Linked DNA regions of Mus musculus: all the other regions are reported to be linked to region 4. Evidence: microRNA targets listed by miRTarBase, many of them from high-throughput screens and not tested one by one. Region 4 holds a microRNA gene; each other region holds the end of a gene's coding sequence.
Evidence for each region. Region 4 holds the annotated microRNA mmu-miR-495-3p (AAACAAACAUGGUGCACUUCUU, at 2,217-2,238, opposite strand). A microRNA usually pairs through its seed, bases 2 to 8, with sites in the 3' UTR of a target mRNA and lowers its output. Matches are read on the target gene's strand: a 7mer-m8 pairs with bases 2 to 8, a 7mer-A1 pairs with bases 2 to 7 and ends in A, and an 8mer does both.

Region 1 (3,086 bases), not on the chromosome of region 4:
CAGGGCTCGATGGCTGACTGTGAGAAGGGCAAGCAGCGTGCCACACCAATATTTTGAGTGTGCGTAACCTGAAATATGATCCATTATTTAGTAACTATTTATTATGCCTCTACTATGTGCCAGAGTCTATGCTAAGAGGCTGCCATAGCCTCTTAAAAAACCCTCACAATTGACTCTCTAAGTACAAACATTATCTTGCTCTAAAAAAAGAAAAGAAAAGAAACGAGAAAGGAAAAGAAAAGGGAGACATGGAGAAGTTAAAAATAAATTGTATAAGTAAATTCAGAGAAATACCTAGTTTGGGAAGTTTAGACAGGTAGATAGGCAGGCAAACATCAGACAAGAGTTATAGTATCAAAGCCTACTCACATAGACGGATAACTACTAACAAGATGTTTAAATAAATGACTAGGGGTCTAGACCTGAGTCATCTTTAGAAAGCATGTGGTTAAACAAAAGAATGCAGTGAGTGGTCTATGCATGCCTACAGTCCCAGCTACTGGGTTGCATGGGCAGGATTATCATGTGAGTCCAGGATAACCATGCGACAGCTTGATTCCAGTATGGACAACACAGTGGAATCCAGTCTCAAAACAGAAAAGAAAAAAAAAAAAATCCCACCCTACAAGAATAAGTAAATAGCCACTTAGACTAGAGAGACATGAAAAGGAGCCAGTAAAGGAAATACTGAGATAAAACTTAAGCCAAGTATGCAATGCAATGATCTGCATTTTTACAGAATCTTATAAAAAGGCAATCATTAGTTATAGAGAACAAAGAACATGTGGGGCCAAACAGAATGGTGTATCACTATAGTCTCTGCATTGGGAGGCTGAACAGGAGGATCTTGGGAGCCACGATGTTTAAGACCAGCCTGAAGAGCATAGTAAGCCCTAACTGCTGAGGCGCCTTGCTGGTGTCCTGGATAATGGCCTTGCCTGGATGCCTACATGTGCTTCAATGCACTTGTGTCTGGAGTTCTGGTTGCAGCTACTCTCCCAAACAAGTTTTTCTCAGGACTCCCTCTTGTGTTTTCCCCGAGGGCTTCACCATATCTTTCTTCTTGCATGCATTCATTTTGTAAATGTGTCCAAAGACTTTTCTGTGGGGAAGGCACTATCAGAGGGACAAGAAGAGACACCCAGATGTAAGTTTTTCATGGCTGTGCCATGTCAATTTACAGGATAGATAACTGTACAACCATCAGCAGGTAAGAGTGAAATGCCACAAAAAAGATAGAATGCCTCACTTCTAGAGAGGTGAGATTAAGAGTCTACAGAATTTGTGATGTGTAAGCTATGTATTTAAGTTTCTCATGGTCTGTGTCATGGTAACTTACAAGATAGATGACTGTACAACAATATGCAGGTAATAGTAAAATGCCAAAAAAAAAAAAGACAGAAAGACCTCACTACCTCACTTCTTGACAGGTGAGATTAAGGAAGAATTCATAGAGTTAGCGATGTATAGGTTAGGTATTTAAAATATGTGGATTATTCAAAATATGTGAATATGTGTGCGGTGGTAGATGCCTTTAATTCCAGCATTTGAGAGGCAGAGGCAATTGGATCTCTATGAATTTGAGAGTTCCAGGGCAGCCAAGAAACCCTGCCTCAAAAACAAACAAACAAACAAACAAAATTAATATAGCTGTACATATGCATTCTTTTCAAAGTTTAAAAATCATTGATCTAAGGACGAGAATCGATCTTCGGAGACTGAAGACAAGTCATGTATCATCATGTGTGTTTCTTGTAAAAGGCAAGCATGACCTGCACAGAGACATGCTTACTTGGGTGGTACTTGTGTGGATTTCCTTGTTTCTGTAGTGCTGAGGTTGAACCCGGGCTTTGCATACTAGGCAAGGGTTCATCATGTAGACTTTCTTAAGAGTAAAAGATGGTCCAAAGATCGCTGTAAAAATTAGATCTTCCTTCACCAATTCCTATTTAGAATGGCTCTGTTTTGTTTTTTTGTTTTGTTTTTCGAGACACGGTTTCTTTGTATAGCCCTGGCTGTCCTGGAACTCACTCTGTAGACCAGGCTGGCCTCGAACTCAGAAATCCGCCTGCCTCTGCCTCTCAAGCGCTGGGATTAAAGGCGTGCGCCACCACTGCCCTGTGAGAATGGATCTGTTTTACCATTTCAGTTTTAACTCTGCACAAAAATCCTTCATAAATTTGTTCTAGGCCAACTGGGTTTTAATTAACACAAGCTTTTCTAAGGTCACTTGTAACGGCTTGTGTTCTCATGCTAATTATGTTACCAAAAATACCTGTTTGCAGTGTCCCACATTTAGGACTAAAGGAAGCCTGTCCCCAGTTAGTTTTTGACTTGTCAATAAAATTACCAGCGGCCAATGACTGGGCAGAGACAGAGGTGGGACTTTTAGGATTCCTGGGAAGAGACAGAGAGAGTAGGAAGAGAAGATTTTGCCACAAGAGGGGCATAGGACCACGCCAGAAAGATACAGAAGGGAAAGACCGCCGACATGTAGGTGCAGGGGGAAAGCTGCCCAGGAGGGCTGCCCAGCCAGGTCCAGGGCACAAAGATAATATATAGATTTTAGTAAGTAATAACTCAGGAATATTGAAGTGGAGTGTGCGTTAACCAAGTGGAGTTAGGGAGTGGCCCGGCAATTGACCTGCTTAGGGCATATTAAAAATAAGGTTGTGCGTGTGTGTCTTTCACTCGGGAATCCAGAACATTGTGGGTGCATAGCGCCGAGCGCATGTGCACCACCGGGGAGTTTTGAGCGATTTAATTTTTTTACCGCGGCAGTCACATGGATATCTCAGATTCATAGGACTTGGCAGTTTCAAACCAGATTTCTTCAACGGCTTTCTGGCCCATGTCGAACAGCTGCTGTAAATGCTTCCATCCGGTTTTGGCTGTAATCATGAGGTACTCTTTGTTCTCTGGGTACAGCTGGCAGGAGTATGCAGCCATGACGAGAGACTGGCTAAAACGACTGCATACAAGTAAAAACAAAGCCTGCCTCTCTACAGCCGTCAGGGGGATCACACTTTCAAACCCTGCGAGGATGTGACCTCCTACTTGTATAGGGTTTGTGCTTTCAATCATCA
Region 2 (3,086 bases), not on the chromosome of region 4:
TGGCGGGCTACGCCTCGGGTTATGGCTTAGCTACCCTCTTCCACCTCCCGCCCAACTGCAAGCGGACTGTGTGTCTGGAAACAGGAAGTCAGAACGTGCAGCTCTGCACTGCGATTCTCAAACTGGCCTTCCCGCCTCGCTTTATAGGTAGCATGTACATGTTCCCTCTGCTCTACGCCCTCTTCCAGTCTGCCGAGGCAGGGGTCTTCGTGTTGATCTACAAAATGTACGGAAGTGAGATACTGCACAAGCGAGAGGCCCTAGACGAAGACGAAGACACCGATATTTCTTATAAGAAACTGAAAGAAGAGGAAATGGCAGACACCTCCTATGGCACCGTGGGGACGGATGACTTAGTGATGATGGAGACCACCCAGACCGCCCTCTGACCGAGGAGATACACGGGAGCTGAAACATCACTTCCTATTTGTGACCATTGGTAGCGAGTATGGTTCGCATCCGGGATAAAGATGGGTTGACATTTCCTGTAACAGATTTGCTCTTCCCACTGTAATGTTGTATCTCAGTATTACCCATGTGTTTTTCTAACTCAACAGAGTCCCAGTATTGCTTACACCTGGATCAGCTAAAGTGCCGGTCCTCTGCTTAAGTAGTGTGCTGTTTGTTTGTTTGTTTTTTGTTTTGTTTTGTTTTCCCGGTTTTTGTTTGTTTTGCCATTTCCACCAGCATCGCTACAGATAGGAAATGGGGTTGGAAATGTTTGTAAATGTTTGTAAAACAGAACCATGGGTTTGCTCAACTTACAAACAACCGATTCTGTTCAGGGCGAGCCTGTATTGAGAAAAGTCCAAAACGGGTCAGTGAAACGACAGGATAGCATTGCATCGTCAAACCACTCTCAAGCCAGAGAAAATCATATTAATGTGTGTGACTACTTGATCTAGTATCTATTGTTAATGGCCATCAACATTGTCCAGGGGTGAAAGGCATTTTCCCCATATGTTTCCTGTATTTGTATAAACGCATCTCAGCTCCATTTATCGTCTGAAGGAATGATTTACTTAGGAAAATGCGTAGACCTCACCTCAGGGAGAGAAAATGGGCCCCTTTGTTCATCCGTGGGAAAGGGCTGTGGCTACAGGCTTTCCTTCCGGAAAGGCCTGTGGCTGGACACTGTCCCACTGCTCTGGTAGACTGGAGCTGTGATCTGAGACAAGCTAAGAGGTTCAGAGCAGTCTCCTAACATTTGTTATTTTGCTCCCTAATCAGACACACTGGCCTCCCTTGCCTTCTTCATGACAGACATCTGGAGCTACAGACATGGGGGCCCACCTGGCTCGGCTAATCTCGGTGATGATTCTGGGGTTGAATTCTCATCTCATCTAGTTCCCCTACAAATTGTTACTGTGGCTAGCAAGGAAAGCTCTTTTTCTGCATCCACGAGGAGGGTCGCCTCTTAACCAGTGTGGGGAAGGGTTCGCTCAGTATGGCAACAGCAGGTGGTAGGGCTTTTTCTACCAGTGCGCGGTCGCCTATTTAACGCAGTGTGGAGGGCAGCTGGGCTGCGCTGATGGCTGCCTGGGCGGGCGAGGCGCGGAACGCACCCATGTTCCCGGCGAGCACGTTCCACCCCTGCCCGCATCCTTATCCGCAGGCCACCAAAGCCGGGGATGGCTGGAGGTTCGGAGCCAGGGGCTGCCGACCCGCGCCCCCCTCCTTCCTCCCCGGCTACAGACAGCTCATGGCCGCGGAGTACGTCGACCGCCACCAGCGGGCACAGCTCATGGCCCTGCTGTCGCGGATGGGTCCCCGGTCGGTCAGCAGCCGTGACGCTGCGGTGCAGGTGAACCCGCGCCGCGACGCCTCGGTGCAGTGTTCACTCGGGCGCCGCACGCTGCAGCCTGCAGGGTGCCGAGCCAGCCCCGACGCCCGGTCGGGTTCCTGTCAACCCCGTGGCCACGCCGGCGCCGGGAGATCCCCGCGATCCTGGCAGACCGTCGCCCCGTTCTCGTCCGTGACTTCTGTGGCCTCTCCTCGCTGGAGGTTGCGGGGGCAGGCAGACACCCAGGAAGGGAGAGGGGAGCCCGGCATCCTCGGAGACCCGGGAACCGGAGCCGAGAGAGGTGGCCGTGAGGAAAGCGGTCCCCCAGCCGCGAAGCGAGGAGGGCGACGTCCAGGCTGAAGGGCAGGCCGGGTGGGAGCAGCAGCCACCACCGGAGGACCGGAACAGTGTGGTGGTGATGCAGTCTGAGCCTGGGAGTGAGGAGCTGTGTCCTGCTGCAGAGATGGCTCAGGACCCCGGTGACTCGGATGCCCCTCCCCGCAAAGCACCAAGCAGGACAAGGAGCTCCTGCGTTTCCAGGTGAGGCCAGCCTGGCGGCCTGGACGCCTCCAGAATTGTAGGGCTCCTTCAGGGCTAAGCTGGTGGCTCTGGGTGATGCAGAACATAGAATTCTTCCATGCCATCAGTCTGTTTTTTGTTTGTTTGTTTTTAACATGTTTGGTGTTTTGATTGCATGTTGTATCTGTACACTTCGTTGTAGTGGAGAGATGGGAGCAGAAGAGGGCGTCGGATCCCCTGGGACTGGTGTTTTACAGATGGTTGTAAGTCACCATGTGAGTTTTAGGATCGGAATTACTGTCCTCTAGAAGAACAGGGTGTTGTTTCACAGCTGAGCCATCTCTCCAGCTCTTTGGCATATAGGATTTTGCAGCCGCTGCCTGTTAATACAATGGGAGGCGTTTACACAATAAAAACCAACCCATATGTGTCCCGACCCACAGGCAGCCTCTGCTCCTGGGGAATGCCAGTTGTAATTATTTAATTCTGATCACATAAACGCTACACGTGAGGTCTCCGCGGTAAATGCACACAGTCTGGTTTGGACCAAACTTCAGACGGCTGAAGGAAGATAAGTGCACACATGGCAGGAACATAATCTTGTGAACTTCGTTGCGGGGAGAGTCGGTTTCCCAAGGCTCCTTTTCTTATTTCCCCTCTAGATGATCTGTCTTGGTTAACTTGCAGGCTTGTTCTATACCAGGCCCTTCCCTTCGTTTCTGAAGCTGTCAACTGAAGCTTCTCTCTCCCAAACTTGCCTGGCTTAAAACAGAAACAAAAACAA
Region 3 (3,086 bases), not on the chromosome of region 4:
AAGAAACCCAGAGGCCATAAAAAGTCCAACAGATGATGTGTTGTTAAAGAGAGGAACTCCCTTCTTAGGCCCTGGCTGGCTGGGAACGCCACAGGCAGAGCAGGCTGCCCTCCAATTCAGATTGCCTCTACCCACCAAGTGCTAGGATTAGAGATGAGCACAACCACACCTGATGAGACTTAAAAGGTTTGACTATGAAAAACTTGAAAAATTAGCACAATACACACAAAGTAAGATATATACACCATTGTTTGAGTATGTGAATGCAGAGGCCAGAGATGACACTGGGTGTCATTCCTCTCAAGGCGGGTCGCTCACTGAAACTGGAGCTCCCCAGTTTGGCCCAACTGGCTGAGTGTTGGAATCCAGTGTTGCCTTGGCAGCACAGCAAGTAGTAGCGACTGAGCCATGGTGAACCTATTTTAGACCAAGGCAGCAGTGCTGGTGAGGCACACCTCTAAGTGACCTGCAGTATGTGGTGGAGCAGAGCTTAGGTTTGGTGGTCACTACCGGTTTTAGAGAGAACACTTCACACTTTCCTATAGGATGCAGGAAACTGTCGCTGTATAGAGAAATAATGGCAAAGACAAAGAGAAAAGTTGAATTTTTTTTTTTAAAAAAAGCACAAAACCCCTACATACTAAAATGATACACATCAAGTATTGATCCAATCTTACATCGACCTATTGACAATTACCAGCACCATGTTTTTTTCTCACCTAGGTTATTAACCTATTGACAATTTCCAGCACCTAGGTTTTTTTCTCACCATGCCTGGAGGATTGTTATTCAAAGTATATGTTCCTTTAAAATTTAAACAAACAAACAAACAAACAAAAACCAAAAGACCCCACAAATCTCTTAGGACAAACCCTCAAGAAACAAGACCTTTTAACAATCAGGTTATTCATGACACCATCAAATTTCCTTTAGAAAAATAATAGGTTTAACCACTTTTCCAACTGACGGACTTTGAGATACTGTTATTCAATATGACAAATGAACCAACCTTCTTGATGGTGGGAGGGAGATGCACTGGAATACCCTAGAGCCTCCACATGGAAATGTGGGCATCCTTGGTTGCTAAAGCTGTGTGTGCACTTCTGAATTTAGATCAGTCACCACCAAATCTAAATTAGATACAATCACAAACTAAATGATGAACAGAATTAGGGAAATGGTTAAAGTTCTCAGAAATGTAAGTTATAATTATAGATATATTTAAACAGGCTATAAGAAATTTAATACTTAAAAATTACATTTTAAACTGCTTAGAGGTTTCATTCTGCCACTAAAATTATGAATGGCATTTTATATCCGAATAGGAGGTTTGGTATTTCCTGACTGAGAAAAGCACAGACCCTTCTTTCATCTACTGTTCACATCTCACAAACTTTCAGAGACAGTGTGGTCACATGATAGTCCCCTTCTCAGGGAACCAACTTTTTTTTTTAAGACACAGTCTCACTAAGTAGCTCTGGCTGGCCTAGAACTAGCTGTGTATTCCAGGCTGGTCTCAAATTCTGAGATCTGCCTCTTTCTACCTCTCAAGGCCCAGGATTAAAGGCAGGTACAACATGCCTGGCAAAAACAGCTTTTAAAAGGCTCCAGATTAAATATAACCCTTGGCAGCTTTCTCCAGAGAAGGTGAGCCTGATTTACTATGTTCAGTCCCTTAGCCCAGTGTGCAGATGGAGGTTAATTCACCTTTGTTGGGAAGGTGTGGGAGGAACCCTGCCACCACAGTGACTGGAGTCAGAGTTAAGTGAAAGCACTCCAGTCTGAGCCAGGCGCTACCATCTGTTCCCACCAATGCAGTTTAAATGACACTAGTTAGCTATCACACACGAACATTTTGAATTGGAATTTTCTCCAAGGCTTAGAATAGGCACAGTTTTCCCAGGAACAGGCAGAGAGGGTTTTACTCACATTCCCTGCAGGCAGGAAGGAGAAGATTGCTTTTCATTCTGGACTGGAAGCAGCTATACTCCATTTCTGTCTTGCCTGGCCCAGGAATATATAGGCGGGGCCAGGAAGCTACAGAAATGGTCACGCAGAGCATCAGGGTCAGCAAAGACATCACATAGTAGCTAGCTGTCAAGCCTGGGTCCACAGATATGTTAAGATTACTATGAAGCAAGACTAGAAACTTCTCAACTGAGAATACAAGCTCTAACTACTTACTAACGTGCTGCTCAGGGCGCCAGAGGGTGCCCGCTGCCAGCATGACGGCCACAGGACTGAGTGCATGTCAACAGGGAGCAGAACTTGGTGGGAGGGGAAGGAACACTGACAACTCCCAGTCTCACTGCCTCCTGGTGGGTAGGACTACAAACCCAGAAGAGAAGCAAAACTCTATGCTCTTTTAGGTTCCACTTTAAAAGAAAAAAAAGATTAGGTTTTGTAACTGTTATTGATGGTTCTGGAAAAAAAAAAATTTGACATGTATGTCATAAAAATTCTGTGTCCAAAAGGTGCTTGGTGCTGTTTTTGATGGGTCTGGTGTCTGTTTACATTCGAGATCATTTAAATACAGCCATTACACAGTTGATAAATGTTTTAAAATAAATGGTTATCTATTTCTTAACTGTCTTTCAAATTAGAAATTGTAATTATAAGAGTATCAGAGGCTGGCTCTGTGTGTTTTATTATTTTTGTTGGTCTCCATCACAGATGGAATTTTTCACTGGTAATTCCTCAGAACTAAATCCATTCATAGGGAATTCAGAGCAGTGAAAATAAATTTCACGCCTTAAGAGTAAGAAATGGTAACAATAAAAAGGAGCCACGGGATCTTGGAAGAAGGCAAGTCCAGCTCAGTTCTCCACTGGTGTTGGGGTTTGCACAGGCTGGCTCACTATAACCTGCACCACATAGTCCTTGGGGATCTTCAGCTCCTCCAGCTTCATCTTATCCGTGAGAGGCCTGCCAGAGAAGAACCAGCGCTGGCTGCCTGGCTCCACGCCCTCTGTGGCGTGTAAGCGCCTCTTCATGTGAAACACTGTGTCTGTGCTGCGGACCACGAGCCTGAGGTCTTTGCCTGTGGAGAGCCGCAGGCGGAGCTGAGATTCGTGTCCAGAATTGGG
Region 4 (3,086 bases):
GAAGGCAGAGGCAAGCAGGAGTTCAAAGTCAGCCTCAGCTACCTAAGAAATTCAAAGGTATCCTGGGTTACAATGAAAACTTGCTACAAAAAAAATGTTATCGAAAATTGTTATATTAAATGAGTTATACAAAAAAATCAATATGGGTGCCACATATTCATAGAGATTCCCACCTTCATCTTGCTCTCATCATTTTTCATTTGATATTTGAGCTTGTCCGTTTGGTTAGATCCAGGCGAACCTGGGAAGGGCAGAGTATATTCTTTAAAATTCTCAAAATCTGAAATGCAGGCTAGACATGTTTTTGCTCAAATCTGTCAATCAATTAAGAAGGAAGCGATGTGATAGAAACTAGATTTTTATGTACAGATTTGCCTTGGGAAATTGGATTATAGGATGATTCATTCAATAAACTCTCAAGTCTCAAAATAAGAAAATAAATAAACAAAAGCACTTGCCATCTGGCCAGACATCTGCTCACATACCATCAGCAAGGGGCTGATGCCCACATCGTGTTCCTGAACCTGACACCGGGTACAGAGAGCCCTTCAAGGAGGGATTTTGTGCTCAAAAAGAGGTCAGCGTTTAATATCTTCCACGAACAAACACCATGATGTGGACACTGTCCCTTGGGGCCTCTTGGAACAGCTGCGGCAATCCTGCCCAGGCTTCTCCTGTGAAAAAGACAGCTGGTGAGGTATTGTGCCCAGAGAATATTCTACCCTCAAAGATGGAAGGCTCCCTCTGGGCCTATACGTACCTGGGATGTAGGGGTGAATAGCAGCCCTTAGAAGCCTGCCAATAAAGCACAAAGCTAAATGTGAAATGGAACTGAACAAGTCCGGTTACCTTGGGATGACCACCAGAGGCATTTCTGTCCAGGTGTCCTTTGCATTCCTTGGATGAATCCAAGACAAACTCCCCTCCAGAAGTTTGTGGGCCTAGGGGCCTTGGGCTGGGTGGCAGGTGTCACAGATATAATGTATGGCGTGCTCACTGCTCCACCAGCACCGAGGCCAGTACCCACTAGATGGAAAGGGATTTTCAACCTAAGAAAATGGGTTGACCATGCTTGTTCCATGCCCCTTAGCCTTTCTCCATGGGTATAAAGGGAGAGTTGCTGCTTTTCCAAAGGTGTTTCCATCTTTTATAGGCAGAAGCCAAAACACAGGTACAGCCACAGCCCAAGGGCATCACTGAGCCAGTAGAAACTAAGAGCTAAGTGTGTGGCTAATCCTGGTACCTCTTAGATGGAGTTTGCACTGGGTTTTGATGCGCTATGGTTGTTGAGCCACGTAAGTATAAACAAAGCTTTTATTCCAACTTGAGCAAAGAAAGAAATAGCTAGTATCCTAGCAAAGGGTTGCCTAAGAGTGATCCCATATCTTGTACTGGCTCAGCTTCGGAAACCCTCCAGGGGAGATGGATGGATGAGGTGTTCTCATACTCTCTGGATTGTATCCTCCCTCCCACTCTCACAAGAGAGCCACCAAAGGGCCCTGCTCAAACAACCACACTCAAAGGCAATTTTGATGCCATGAGGAGGCTACCAGAGAATGTTAGCCATAAAGAGAAGTTCACTAGGGAAAAGGGGTCTGAAGTGCCGCCTTACATCTACCACTCCAGAGGGCAGGGGTACCAGTATCAGAGATAAGAGACAGGCAGCAGTGGCTGATGACAGCTTGCTGTTCCCTGGTCCCAATCGTAGCCAGCACCCACCAGTCCTCAAGGCCTTGCTAATGGCATCAAAGAGCACAGCCCGTAGACATGGCAGGATGCTGGTAAAGAGCTGATCTGGGGCCCAGGCTTTTCTAGAGTCATAGTGTTATGTGACACTCACCAACTGACATATCTTGGTAAAGACACCTGCAGCTGACATCTAGACACATGTCTCCAGAAGGAATTGGTGGTTTGGCTTGTATTGGCTGTTTGATTAAATTGCTATTGTTTGGATTTTATAATTTTCTGGGCTTCTCTTATCTGAACTCCATCCTACAACAGAGCCTAAAAGTGCGCTTCCTGGTTTCCCTTACTGACTGTGCCTGTCCCAGGAGGTGGGCATTCTGGACCTAACAATGCACAGAGCCAAGAGGGGCAGGTGAAATTGTGCTTCTTTGAGGTAAATGCCCCTGTGCACATGGTGACCCAAACCCCCTGGCCTCCCGTCCTCCCTCTGGTCCATGGGGAGCTCTCCAAGGTGAGATTTGATATCGAAAAAGAAGTGCACCATGTTTGTTTCGTCACAAATAAAAGCGAAAAATAACATGGGCAACTTCTTTTCAGGTACCACGGCTGAGCTCTTGCTTGTTCCAGCAGTGTGCCTGAGTGTGAAGGGATGCTGAGGGACAGGCGGAAGGAAGGGATGGTGGGTGAGGCAGATACTTGGCCGGGAGGGGGACAGGGATGGGGGTCCTGAGGCAAGGGGAGTGGCTCAGTACTCATCACTGCCATAGCAATCCAGCCCAAACCCCCTCTACCTCAGGATCTCAGGAAGACCTGGGACGAAGACTGAAGATTCTGAGATGTTGCCTACCATCCTTGCCAGTCATTCTGAAGTGTCACTCGGGGGAAATGGGATGGTGCCAAACTCCAAGACAGAATCTCCTCTCTCAGTTCCAGGATCCTCTTCTGAAGCTGAGAAAAAAAAAAAAAGTCAAAGAACTAGGTGGCAAAATCCAGGGCAGCCTAAACCAGCTGTGTGAGTGCCTGGATGATGCCCTCTGAGGTCCCCCCTCTCCCGCACCCAGAAGTGACTTACGATGTAGACAAATACAACAAAGAGCTCACAGGGTACTGGGAAGCAGAAGAACAGGTTGAAATGGGAGGCTCCAGGATTCTGAGCGTGTGAGATGTCTGGGGATGCAATGTCCGTTCATCATCTTGCGGCTGTCCTGAACGGGACATATGACCGACCCTTCCCTGAAAACAAAACGCATTGATTAGTGTGTGTTACCGTTACTGGAAGGTTACAACACTACAGCAATATATCTGAACCACAAAGGAAAGTGACTTGGTACCAACTACCTACCTTAGACTGGACAATGGGAATAATGAGCAAGAGAACATACCATCCAAAGAATGCCAGT

Region 1: miRTarBase lists Hykk as a target of mmu-miR-495-3p. Seed matches in the 3' UTR shown: 7mer-m8 at 1,631-1,637, 7mer-m8 at 1,627-1,633, 7mer-m8 at 1,623-1,629 and 7mer-m8 at 1,619-1,625.
Region 2: miRTarBase lists Slc10a4 as a target of mmu-miR-495-3p. Seed matches in the 3' UTR shown: 7mer-m8 at 621-627, 7mer-m8 at 625-631, 7mer-m8 at 629-635 and 7mer-m8 at 665-671.
Region 3: miRTarBase lists Ubtd2 as a target of mmu-miR-495-3p. Seed matches in the 3' UTR shown: 7mer-m8 at 829-835, 7mer-m8 at 825-831, 7mer-m8 at 821-827 and 7mer-m8 at 817-823.

The regions. Positions count from the first base shown.
Region 1 is chr9:54,946,222-54,949,307 of GRCm38, reverse strand. Hykk (hydroxylysine kinase 1) reads right to left here. Exons shown (of 5, transcript NM_177351.4): 5 at 1-3,086. The coding sequence ends at 2,782. Among named protein-coding and RNA genes, the nearest start is that of Psma4, 3.1 kb to the left of the region's middle.
Region 2 is chr5:73,011,959-73,015,044 of GRCm38, forward strand. Slc10a4 (solute carrier family 10 (sodium/bile acid cotransporter family), member 4) reads left to right here. Exons shown (of 3, transcript NM_173403.2): 3 at 1-997. The coding sequence ends at 389. It also overlaps the pseudogene Zar1-ps. Among named protein-coding and RNA genes, the nearest start is that of Slc10a4, 6.6 kb to the left of the region's middle.
Region 3 is chr11:32,516,218-32,519,303 of GRCm38, reverse strand. Ubtd2 (ubiquitin domain containing 2) reads right to left here. Exons shown (of 3, transcript NM_173784.4): 3 at 595-3,086. The coding sequence ends at 2,817. Among named protein-coding and RNA genes, the nearest start is that of Efcab9, 9.8 kb to the left of the region's middle.
Region 4 is chr12:109,717,947-109,721,032 of GRCm38, reverse strand. It overlaps Mir495 (microRNA 495), which reads right to left and starts at 2,279; the gene lies at 2,217-2,279. Mir667 (microRNA 667) reads right to left here and starts at 1,027; the gene lies at 936-1,027.